3 linked regions of the Ovis aries genome follow. The protein of the gene in region 3 interacts with the protein of the main gene of each other region in a pairwise test. Links are inferred from orthologs where the notes say so. Each region holds a gene or a part of one and is shown on either strand. Other genes may lie near its edges. The genes, in order: SLC25A6, GTF2I and AP2B1.

The links.
Region 1: the proteins of AP2B1 (region 3) and SLC25A6 interact in binary tests that used the Homo sapiens proteins (3 or more experiments, as listed by UniProt). The link is inferred for Ovis aries from reciprocal best matches to the Homo sapiens genes AP2B1 and SLC25A6.
Region 2: the proteins of AP2B1 (region 3) and GTF2I interact in binary tests that used the Homo sapiens proteins (3 or more experiments, as listed by UniProt). The link is inferred for Ovis aries from reciprocal best matches to the Homo sapiens genes AP2B1 and GTF2I.

The regions. Positions count from the first base shown.
Region 1 is NC_056080.1:6,639,730-6,643,399, forward strand, and holds the start of SLC25A6 (ADP/ATP translocase 3), read left to right. Parts: upstream 1-865; coding exon 866-976; intron 977-2,664; coding exon 2,665-3,151; intron 3,152-3,670. UniProt on the Homo sapiens protein: ADP:ATP antiporter that mediates import of ADP into the mitochondrial matrix for ATP synthesis, and export of ATP out to fuel the cell.
Region 2 is NC_056077.1:33,329,379-33,333,127, reverse strand, and holds the start of GTF2I (general transcription factor II-I), read left to right. Parts: upstream 1-1,114; 5' UTR 1,115-1,336; coding exon 1,337-1,448; exon of another isoform or gene 1,449-3,749. UniProt on the Homo sapiens protein: Interacts with the basal transcription machinery by coordinating the formation of a multiprotein complex at the C-FOS promoter, and linking specific signal responsive activator complexes.
Region 3 is NC_056064.1:14,410,395-14,414,043, forward strand, and holds part of AP2B1 (AP-2 complex subunit beta), read right to left. Parts: intron 1,530-3,649; coding exon 1,400-1,529; intron 1-1,399. UniProt on the Homo sapiens protein: Component of the adaptor protein complex 2 (AP-2). Adaptor protein complexes function in protein transport via transport vesicles in different membrane traffic pathways.

The sequences.
Region 1 (3,670 bases), on a different chromosome or scaffold from region 3:
CCGGGCCGGCCGGGGTTCGGGGCCGTCTCGTACGCTGGGTCAGAACGCACAGACTGCATCGCTCGTCCCGCGGGGCGAGCAGGGGCCTGGAGGGCGCCGGGGGTCATCAGGACCTTTCGGGGCGGCTGGGTGGGGGGGTGGGGGTCGCGGGCGGGACTCGGGGGTCTGCGGCGCGGAGCCGGGGCCCCAATGATCGGACCGGCCAGAGTGGACGAGCCTGGGGACCCGAGCGTCCGGTGCTACGATTGGGAGAAGAGAGGGCGCGGGCCTTCGCAAAGCCCGGCCTGTCCCCTACGCCAGTGTCGTTCGTCGCCGCCGCCAGGCCAAGCATGACCTTGAAAAGGTCAGAGTGGCCGCCACGCAACCCAGCGCGACCCGCCCCGGGCACGCTCGGCGCAGAGGCGGGGCGCGGTTCCCGACATGCCCCGCGGCGAGACGCGCGGGCCAGGGGCGGGGCCTGGGTGGTGGCGCAGCCAATAGGCGCGGCGCACGGGGGCCCCCGGGGCGGGGCGAGGCGCAGCTCCCGGCAGCCCGCGGGAGGCGCGGCGCGCGCCCAGGGGGCGGGGCCGGGGCGGCGGCGCAGCCAATGGGCAAGGCCGTATGGACCCACGGGGCGGGACGAGGCGCCGCTCCCGGCAGGCCGCGCGGGGGCGGTGCGCGCGCCCAGGGGGCGGGGCCCGGGCGGCGGCGCAGCCAATGGGCGCGGCGCGCGGGGGCCGCGGGGCGGGGCGCGGGCCCCTTAGCGGCTGCGCGGTGGCCGCCCTGTCCTTTCGGTCCCGGCGGCGGCAGCGCTGAGCCAGCGGCGCTCACCTTCCGGCTCTCTCTCTGCTTCTCTGCGCCTCCGCTCCGCTCTCCGCCCGCCGCCATGACGGAACAGGCCATCTCCTTCGCCAAGGATTTCCTGGCCGGGGGCATCGCCGCCGCCATCTCCAAGACGGCCGTGGCCCCGATCGAGCGCGTCAAGCTGCTGCTGCAGGTGCGTGTCAGGCTGCTGGCGCGCGGCCGCCGGCGCCGGGCCCCGGGGAGCTCGGGCGCGCGCGCGGCCCCGGGACCGGAAGCGGGGAGGTCGCGCCGCTTTGTCCGCGCGCGGCCGGCCGGGCTGGCTTCCGGGGGGTCGCGTCACGTGGGCACCGCCGCGAGGGAGCGCATGCGCGGGGGGCGCCCGGCGGCGATGTCCGCATTGGGGCGCGGGGCGCCGCATGCGCGTCGGGCGGCCGGCGGCGGCGCCCTCCGCGCCTGCGCACTGGGGGGCTGCAGAGTTGGAGTGCGCATGCGCGGGGGGAGAGCCGCGTGGACGGACCCTGCGAGGCTGTGGGTGGGGTCCCGTCCCCTTGGGCCGTGGACGGGGAAAGATCTTTAGTCTCCGCAGTTGTACTGGTCTTCTTGCCCACTGTTCGCACTTGTTTGCGCGGGTATGAGGTGGAATAAACTGCGCTGGTCTGTTTGGAGCGTCACAAATGGGGAGCCAGTGGAATTAGCGTTGCGATGGGATTGCCACCCTTAAAGAAAATAGGATTCCCCAGGAAGGATGCTAGGAGAGCTTAAAGGCCCCGTGTAAATGTCTTATTAACGACACGTCGGTCGTTGGTGACCTCTGCAGGTGTCAACCGCAAATTGGCGCTTGTGGGCACCTGCTGTTTACCTCTGAAAGCGGTAGTAGTGTCAGTCGTGTCCGACTCTTGCGACCCCATGGACTGTAGCCCTGCCAGGCTGCTCTGTCCATGGGATTCTCCAGGGAAGCATACTGGAATGGGTTGCCATGCCCTCCTTCAGCGGATTTTCCTGACTCAGGGGTGAAACCCGGGTCTCCTGCATTGCAGGGTGATTCTTGACCGTCTGAGCCGTCTCTATGAGTATTGAGTCAGGTGCTGCTGACCTTCAGACCCCGTGAAAGGACCTCAGGGTGGAGAGCAGGAATGAGGCATGCGGGTTCTGGGAAAAAGTGACAGGCCAGGTCATGAGACAGATGTTTCCAGTGGCTGATTGTGAGCCCACTTCTTGCTTGCCCACCTCATGTTTCAGTTCAGTCGCTCAGATGTGTCCGATCATTGCCGACCCCATGGGCTGCAGCACGCCAGGCTTCCCTGTTCATCGTTTAGAAAAGCACTAAAAACTTTTACTGTGACGAGTGCTCCTTGAGGCTCTGAGAAAGGCTCTGCGAGAGTGTGTGCTCGCTCTAGGAACTTCCCATTGACCAGAATCTCATCCAGTCTCACCTCTGGCTCAATCTCTCAGCTATCTGAGCTGCTCTCCCCCGGGGGGTGTAGTCCTCGCCTTGCCCCAGATCGTAACTCGCCACTCTCGGGTCGTGTATTTTTTATAAGTGGCCATGGAGGTCTGCCCTAGGCCCTGGGTGAAGCCCTGTTCCCCCTCACTCCTGCCCCAGGGTGCAGCACGCCAAGCTTCCCTGTCTGTCGTGTGTGAAAAAGCATTAAAAACCTTCACGGTGACGAATGCACCTTGAGACTGTAAGAAACGCTCCGCGAAAATATGTCCTAGCTCGTATGAACTTCTGTTGACCAGAATCCCACCCATACCGACCTTTCCCTCACCTCTTGGAGCAGTCACTCAGAGCTGTCTGAGCTTCACCAGAATCTCCTCTAAGTCTCGGCGGTGTGCCCAGGCCCCCGGTAGAGCCCTGTGTCTCCCTCCGCCGCCCCCCAGGTGCAGCACGCGAGCAAGCAGATCGCGGCCGACAAGCAGTACAAGGGCATCGTGGACTGCATTGTGCGTATCCCCAAGGAGCAGGGCGTGCTGTCCTTCTGGCGGGGCAACCTGGCCAACGTCATCCGCTACTTCCCCACGCAAGCCCTCAACTTCGCTTTCAAGGACAAGTACAAGCAGATCTTCCTGGGGGGCGTGGACAAGCACACGCAGTTCTGGAGGTACTTCGCAGGCAACCTGGCCTCGGGCGGCGCGGCCGGGGCCACCTCCCTGTGCTTCGTCTACCCGCTGGATTTCGCCCGAACCCGCCTGGCGGCCGACGTGGGCAAGTCGGGCAGTGAGCGCGAGTTCAGGGGCCTGGGAGACTGTCTGGTGAAGATCACCAAGTCCGACGGCATCCGCGGGCTGTACCAGGGCTTCAACGTGTCGGTGCAGGGTATCATCATCTACCGCGCCGCCTACTTCGGCATCTACGACACCGCCAAGGGTGAGCTCCCTGCCGGAGGCGACGGTGGGGGCGGCACCGGGAGGGCCCGGGCCTTCTGCTCCCTGGGGCAGGGGCTTGTCCTGGGGGGAGGGCGGAGGCACCTCAGCTGCTGATAGCTGAGGGCTCCCAGCCCCAGCAGCTGGAGGCTGAGACCCAGGGGTGGGCGGGGCTCTCTCCTGGGCGAGTGGACTCCCTGAGTCCTCATGAGCTCCTCCCTCTGGGTGTGTCTGTCTGGCCCCAGAGCCGCCTGGTGACCTCATTTCACCTTCATTCTCTCTTGAAAGTGAAAGTGAAGTCATTCAGTCGTGTCCGACTCTTTGTGACCCCATGGACTGTAGCCTATCAGGCTCCTCCATCCATGGGATTTTCCAGGCAAGAGTGCTGGAGTGCATTGCCGTTTCCTTCTCCAGGGGATCTTCTCGACCCAGGAAAAGAACCCGGGTCTCCCGCATTGCAGGCAGATCCTTTAGCATCTGAGCCACCACCCTCATTTCCAAAGACAGCTTCCTTTTAGGGTCC
Region 2 (3,749 bases), on a different chromosome or scaffold from region 3:
TAGCCTGGCTGAATCTCTGAATCTCCTCTGACTTGGCTTTTGTCTCCCACAGACAGCAGCCCCCCCTCCCCCCTCCCCGCCCTTATCTGCGGTTTCACTTTCCACGGTTTCAGTTACAGGCATTTGGAAAACATTACAGCTATCCCTTGGTCTAGAAGGGTGATTGGTTCCAGGGATGCCCACCCCCCTCACCTTCCCAAAACCCCCAGGTGCCAAAATCTGCAGAAGCTTAAGTCCCTTATATAAAATGGCTGTAGGATTCACATACGGCGTACACACACCCTCCCTTGTACTTTTAATGATCTCTGGATTTATAATACCTAATACAGTATAAATGCTATGTAAATCATTGTAAATACAATGTAAATGCTATGGAAATCGTTGCTGGGCACCCACCCAGCAAAGGCAAGTTCTGCTTTTTTGAAAGTTTCTGGCATTTTTTTGTTTGTTTGTTTTGGAATATTTTCCATCCACGGTTTGTTGAATCCGCAGATGCAGAACCCGCGGATATGGAGGGCTGGCTGCAGATGGAAAATTCCAGAAATAAACAATTCATAAGTTTTAAATTTCACACCCGCCTGCTCCGTCCTGCCCAGGGTCATGAATCATCTCTTTGTCCAGCGTATCCTGCCCGGTAGTCTCTTGGTAGCTGCCTGGGTTATCAGATCTACTGCTGAGGTATCAGCAGGGCTTGTGCTCAAGTTAACCCTTATTTTACTTAATAATGGCTCCAAAGCGCAAGAGTAGTGATGCTGGTGGTTCAGATATGCCAAAGAGAAGCCGTAAAGTGCTTCCTTTGATTGAAAAAGTGAAAGTTCTTGACTTAGTAAGGAAAGAAAAAAAATCTTATGCTGAGGTTGCTAAGATCTACGGTAAGAACGAATCTTCTATCCGTGAAATTATGAAGAAGGAAAAAGAAATTCGTGCTAGTTTTGCTGTTGCGCCCCGAACTGCAAAAGTTACAGCCACAGTCCGTGATGAGTGCATAGTTAAGATGGAAGAGGCTTTAGATTTGTGGGTGGAAGACATGAACAGAAAGCGTGTTCCTATTGACAGCAACGTGTTGCGTCAGAAAGCACTGACCCTGTATGAGGACTTCAGCCAGGGAGCCCTTGAAACGAGTGACACCAAGCCCTTCACTGCCAGTAAGGGATGGCTGTACAGATTCAGGAATAGGTTTGGACTGAAAAATATAAAGATTACTGGACAGGCTGTGCCTCCTGAGGAAGCAGCTGCTGCCCTGTTTCCAGCGGAGGTGAAGAAGTTGATTAAGGAGAAAGGATGTTATCCAAAGAGAGTCTTCAACTGTGATGAAACTGGGCTCTTCCGGAAGAAGATGTCCAATAGAACCTTTATTCATAAAAGTGCAAAGGAGGCACCAAGGCGTAAAACGCGGAAGAACAGATTAGCTCTGGTGATACCTGGAAGCTCACCTCATCATAAGAAGGGTGAGTATAGTGTAATAAGATATTTAGAGAGAGACACCACATTCACGTAACTTTTATTGCAATACATATTGTTATATTGTTCTTAGTTATTATTAACCTCTTGTGTATGTTCGCTCAATTGTGTCCGACTCTCTGCGATCCCCTGGACTGTAGCCCACCAGGCTCCTCTGTCCGTGGATTTTCCAGGCAAGAATACTGGAATGGGTTGCCACTTCCTTTTCCAGGGTGTCTTTCCAAGCCAGGGATTGAACCTGCATCTCCTGCATTGGTAGGTGGATTCTTTACCACTGCGCCACCTGGAAAGCCCATTAATCTCTCACTCTGCATAATTTATAAATTAAACTTTGCTATAAGGGACTAACCTGGTGGTCCAATGGTTAAGATTCTGTGCTTCCACTGCAGGGAACTTGGGTTCAACCACTGGCCAGGGAAATAAGATCCTCATGCATGGCCAAAAAACACCCCCAAAACAAAGAACTTTATTATAGGTGTGTACATACAGGAAAAAAAGATAGTATATAGAGAATTCAGTACTATCCTCATAGATAAGGAGGGGCTACTGTATGCAATAGAATGGAGTGTCCTGTTTTTGGACACTCACCTGCAGGACTACATATGGTGGGTTAAACATAAAAAGAGATGTATATGAAATAATTTGAAATAACCTGCAAGATTCTGCCAGCTGGTAATTCCCTGGCAGTTCAGTGGTTAGGACTCTGAGCTTACACTGGAGGCGGTACAGGTTTGATCTCTGGGTGGGGAACTAAGATCCAACGTGCCGCATGGTGCAGTCAGACTGCAGTCTCAGTCTTGGTACACACATCGTGTTATGTTGAATGTGATTCTAAACAAAAGTTGAGTGTTATTTGAACAAAGGAGGATTCCATAAGAAATCATTCTGAAATATACAAATCAATTTTGTTTTTGTATTTTTCATTTGTTGCTCAACCCAAGCAGTGTAATCTTGTGTTGGAAAACAGCTGGCTGTGCTGAGTTGGTATCTCAAGTGGCATGTAATTCTGATCACCATTAACATAGCACTTGTACCAATGAGGTGAGGGAAAAACTGGTTAACCAACAGCAAGTGCACCAGTAACAGCCAAGGTGAGCCGGGTCTTAAGACTGAACATGTATGATATTTACGACTGTAAGTATCAATCTGAGGGTTAAACCTGCCAATAGCAGTACACGGGGAAAAAAGGTTGACTTCTATACATTGTTCATTGTCCCCAACGGGCCAGCTTTCTGTCCAGAGGCAATTCAAAGCCACCTAAAGTTTTAAGACCAGTTCGATAGTTCAACCTCAACCTCAAGGAAGCTGGAGTTGTTCATGAAGTAGCAGCAAAATTTCACACAGAACTGTTAACTTCAGAAAAGGGGGGGCTATCTCCCACATAAGTTTTTAATGACAAGGGTGCTGCTGCTGCTAAGTCGCTTCAGTTGTGTCCGACTCTGTGTGACCCCATAGACGGCAGCCCACCAGGCTCTGCCCTCCCTGGGATTCTGCATGCAAGAACACTGGAGTGGGTTACCATTTCCTTCTCCAATGCATGAAAGTGAAAAGTGAAAGTGAAGTCAGTCAGTGGTTTCCTACTTTTAGTGACCCCATGGACTGCAGCCCACCAGGCTCCTCTGCCCCTGGGATTTCCAGGCAAGAGTACTGGAGTGGGTTGCCATTGCCTTCTCCAATGACAAGGGTAATCGTGACTAAATGAACTCATCTTACTTCCTAACACCCTTCCAAAGCTCCTCCATTACTCCACCACACCCAGTGCATCCTCCCATCACTGTCTTCAACTTCTCAGTATTCCGAATAATCCGTTCAAGACCAAAAAAAAAAAAAAGTTGTGTTAGTCCCTCAGTCGTGTTGGACTCCTTGCAATCCCATGAACTGAAGCTCACCAGACTTTTCTGTCCATGGAATTCTCCAGGCAGGAATATAGGAGTGGGTAGCCATTCCCTTCTCCGGGGATCTTCCCGAACCAGGGATTAAACCCTGGACCCCCTTGCATTGCAGGAGGATTCTATGCCCTCTGACCCACCAGGTAAGCCCTCAGGGTTCCTATCCCTCCATAAAACATCCTCAGCTGATGCTCACAGCAGCTGAGTTTGCAGCTCCTGGGGTGGTTGCTATTACCAGCTGAATTTTAGGCTTCTCAAGAGTTAATGTTTATCCCTAAGTATGTCAGTTGTACTTGGTATTGGGAAGATGGAGTTTAAATATTTCAAAATGTTAATGAAGAAAGACTGCAAAAAGAAAATTGTTCTTATGAAAAACTAAACACTGTGCAGAAACTTGAC
Region 3 (3,649 bases):
GACTATTCTCTCAAGTTCTTGGTAGAAGGGGATGCCCAATCCTCTTAGTTGAGTCTTGTGTCAGTCACAGTACATCACTCCCTTTTTCTTTTCTTGTTAAAATGTGAGCTCACTTTCAGTAGAGATTTTCTTTTCAGATGGGAGTCCTGATGGCCTTTAAGTTCAAAATTGTTGTAAAAGGGCCAATTCTCTATTTGCTTCTGCCAGGTATCCTAGGCTCTATCAGTTCTGGTCCAACTTTACACTGGTTTGGAGAATTCTGTACCTACCCAGTATAAATTCAGGCTCCGGATTTTTCACAAGAGGCCATTAGAACCCTGGTCAGAGAGAACTTTCTCCAATCACTTGCCTCTATGGAAATGTGTTTCTAGTTCCCTTTTCACTGAGGGACTTGCCCTTCCAGGGGGTCAGCTTTATGCAAAGCTCAGTTACAGTTCCCCATCTCAGGTCGACCCAAGGTGGTCTCTTCCGTCCCTGTGAATATTAAAACCCTCAACTTCCAGGCTTCTATCTGTATGTTATCCCTTCAGGTTGCTGGGCTTCAATTTACATGCTTACTACTCTACCTTCATGTTGCTTAAACCCCAGAAGGCTTATTTCAAAGAGAAATTCAAAGTGATGCAAATGAAATGAAACTCTAAGCTAGAACTTAAGCATTCTAAAAATTCAGTATTTTCAAGATGGAGAGGCTCTTTTAGACATGATAAAGTTCTGACCTCCTCTAAGTTGATGTTACACTTACCACATGCATATCATACAGATAACCCAATTATTTATGGCAGTGTATTCAAAGATGACCTCCACATAGCTTTCCTGAAATCTACTCTTGCTGCTGGAGCTGCTAAGTCGCTTTAGTCATGTCCAACTCTGTGCGACACCATAGATGGCAGCCCACCAGGCTCCCCCGTCCCTGGGACTCTCCAGGCAAGAACACTGGAGTGGGTTGCCATTCCTTCTCCAATGCATGAGAGTGAAAAGTGAAAGCGAAGTTGCTCAGTCGCGTCCGACTCTTCGCGACCCCATGGACTGCAGCCTACCAGGCTCCGCCGTCCATAGGATTTTCCAGGCAAGAGTACTGGAGTGGGGTGCCATTGCCTTCTCTGGGAAATCTACTCTTACAACGTTCAAATTCCCTTTTATGAAAGTCTTAAGAAAAAAGTTTATAAATAACACCTTGAAAAGTTTTTGTTTGTAGAATTAAAAAAAATTAGTAACTTTCTGTGTCAATGTTATGATTTTTGCGTGTGTGTGTTTTAATGAAAAATAAGTCTTCTCCACAGAGTTATTTCAAACCCTATTCCATGACTAAATCTAATATGAGAGGAGTTGCTTTACATATAAATAAAATAAAATTGGCAAGATATCAACCTGTACACCCAGACTGAAGTAAGAGTCTAACCTGTAGGTTGTTCAGAGGCTCCATCTTCATGACAGGGCCCAAGGTGTTGAGGGGCAGGGAGACATCGATGCTCTGGTTTGGCATCAGTGGTGTATGGATGGCCAGAGGAGTGCTGGGGATGACACCAAAGCTAGAAGAGAGGGTGAAGAAGTCCTAGAGGTTATTAGGAGGCAGGATTTAGACACATCTTTAGGTTTCCATGGCTTTTTATACAAGGAAACCACATAACCTCTGTTTTCCATGAAATAGATTAGAGGAAGGAGAAAACATTCAGCAGCAGAGAACTGGTTAGCTAATGCCCTGATTCTAAAGTTTTATGTTTATCATGCCACTAGAGGGGCAGATTTGATAAGCATCTTTTTTTATACATCTGTCTTTAGATAATCCTTGGGAGAATACCCACCCTGCAAAGTACACTACTACTATTTCACTAGCTTGATAGCCTGCCCAGTCAGCCCAGAGGATGATTTACGGTAACTCACTTTCTTTTTTCTTTGTTTACTTACATAGGATACAATCATTGGGAAAAAGCCACTCTAAGTAAAGCAGAATTGACTGGTTTAAACATTCAAAACAGTACTCCAAAGGACGAAAGACACACTGCAGACTCAAACCTGGCCACTTTCTTAGCCTAAGGCAGGAAGTGAATATCCACTACAGTTAGACTTCTCACAGAAGCCTACATGATAATAATATAAAACAGTAAAGAGCTAGGAAAAGCCTGAGTTAGAAGTCACATAAAAACAAAAATGTATGAAGGAAGACCGAAAGGGAAAAGTTGGGCCACAGGTATAACAAATGAACAGCTTAATGATACAAATTTACATTGAACTTATGCTCTAATTAGCCTCAGGAAGAAAGATGAGATTATAATGTAAAGTAACTAGAGTTTTTTAAGCAGTATCAATTTCAGAACAGCAGGAGAAACATTTTCCTTTTCCTAGATAAACTATACTTTAGAGTCCCAAATGTAATAAATGATTTTGAGTAGACACATCAAATCATTTTGGTATTAACATTTATAGGTCAAAAACTATTCTGCCCTTTTGATCTTGATCTCATGATTGATCTATGTGGAACACCATAGGGAATCTTTTAAAAAGGCTACCAGAACTAGTAAGTAAGTTTATTGAAGTTGCAAGATACAAGTTCAATATACAAAAATCAACTGTATTTCTATAAACTAGCAACCAAAAGTTAAAACATGCTACTTACTGTAAACATCAAAACTACGAAACACTTAAATACAACATAAGATGTGTAAGATCTATACATGAAAAATTATAAAATACTGTAGAGGGAAGTTAAAGATGTCTTACATAAATGGAGAGATACGCTATGCTGATAGATTGGAAGACTTAGTATTGTTTGTTGTCAGTTCTTCCCCTAACTGATCTATATATTCTCTATACCTTCCATCAAAATCCAAGCAGGAAAAAGACCTAGAATTGCCCAAAACAATTTTTGAAAAAGAACATAGTTGGAGGGTTTATACTATATGACTTCAAGATTTACTACAGCAAGACTTTGCTTTGACTCTTACTTTACACCATACTGGGCTTCCCAGGTGGCGCTAATGGTAAAGAATCCACCTGCCAATTCAAGAGATGAGGATTTCCGGATCCCTTGAAGGAGAGCATGGCAACCTACTCCAGTACTCTTGCCTAGAAAATTCCACACACACAGAAGCCTGGTGGGCTACAATCCATGGGGCCATGAAGAGTCGGACACAACTGGACACTGCACACTACACCATATTATCACACCAAAATTATCTCAAAATGAATTATAAAGGCAAACATAAGAGCTTTATTGACTGCCATTTCCATTAAAATTTTTTTAATTGTATTAATAACTGTAGGTCAGGTAAAGATTTGATAAACAGAACACAAAAAGCGAAAGACTTAAAAAGGAAAAAATTGTAAAATAAACTGTGTTTAAACAAAAAACCTGTTCCTTGAAAAACACTAAGAGAGTACAAGTAAGCTACAGACTGGGGGAAGATTATTTCCAAGGCATATCTGAAAAGTACTTATAGCTAGAAAATATAAAAAACTTTACTACTTGATAATAGGACAAATAATTTTTTTAAAAAAGAAAAAGGAATGATCTGAGAAGATACTTCTCCAAAGAAGATATAAGATTAGTCAACAAGATTATGAAAAAAATGCTCAGTATTGTTAGTTAGTAGAGAGATATTACTATCCATCTACAAGAATGGCTAGCACTGGTGAGAACATGGGAGTCGGA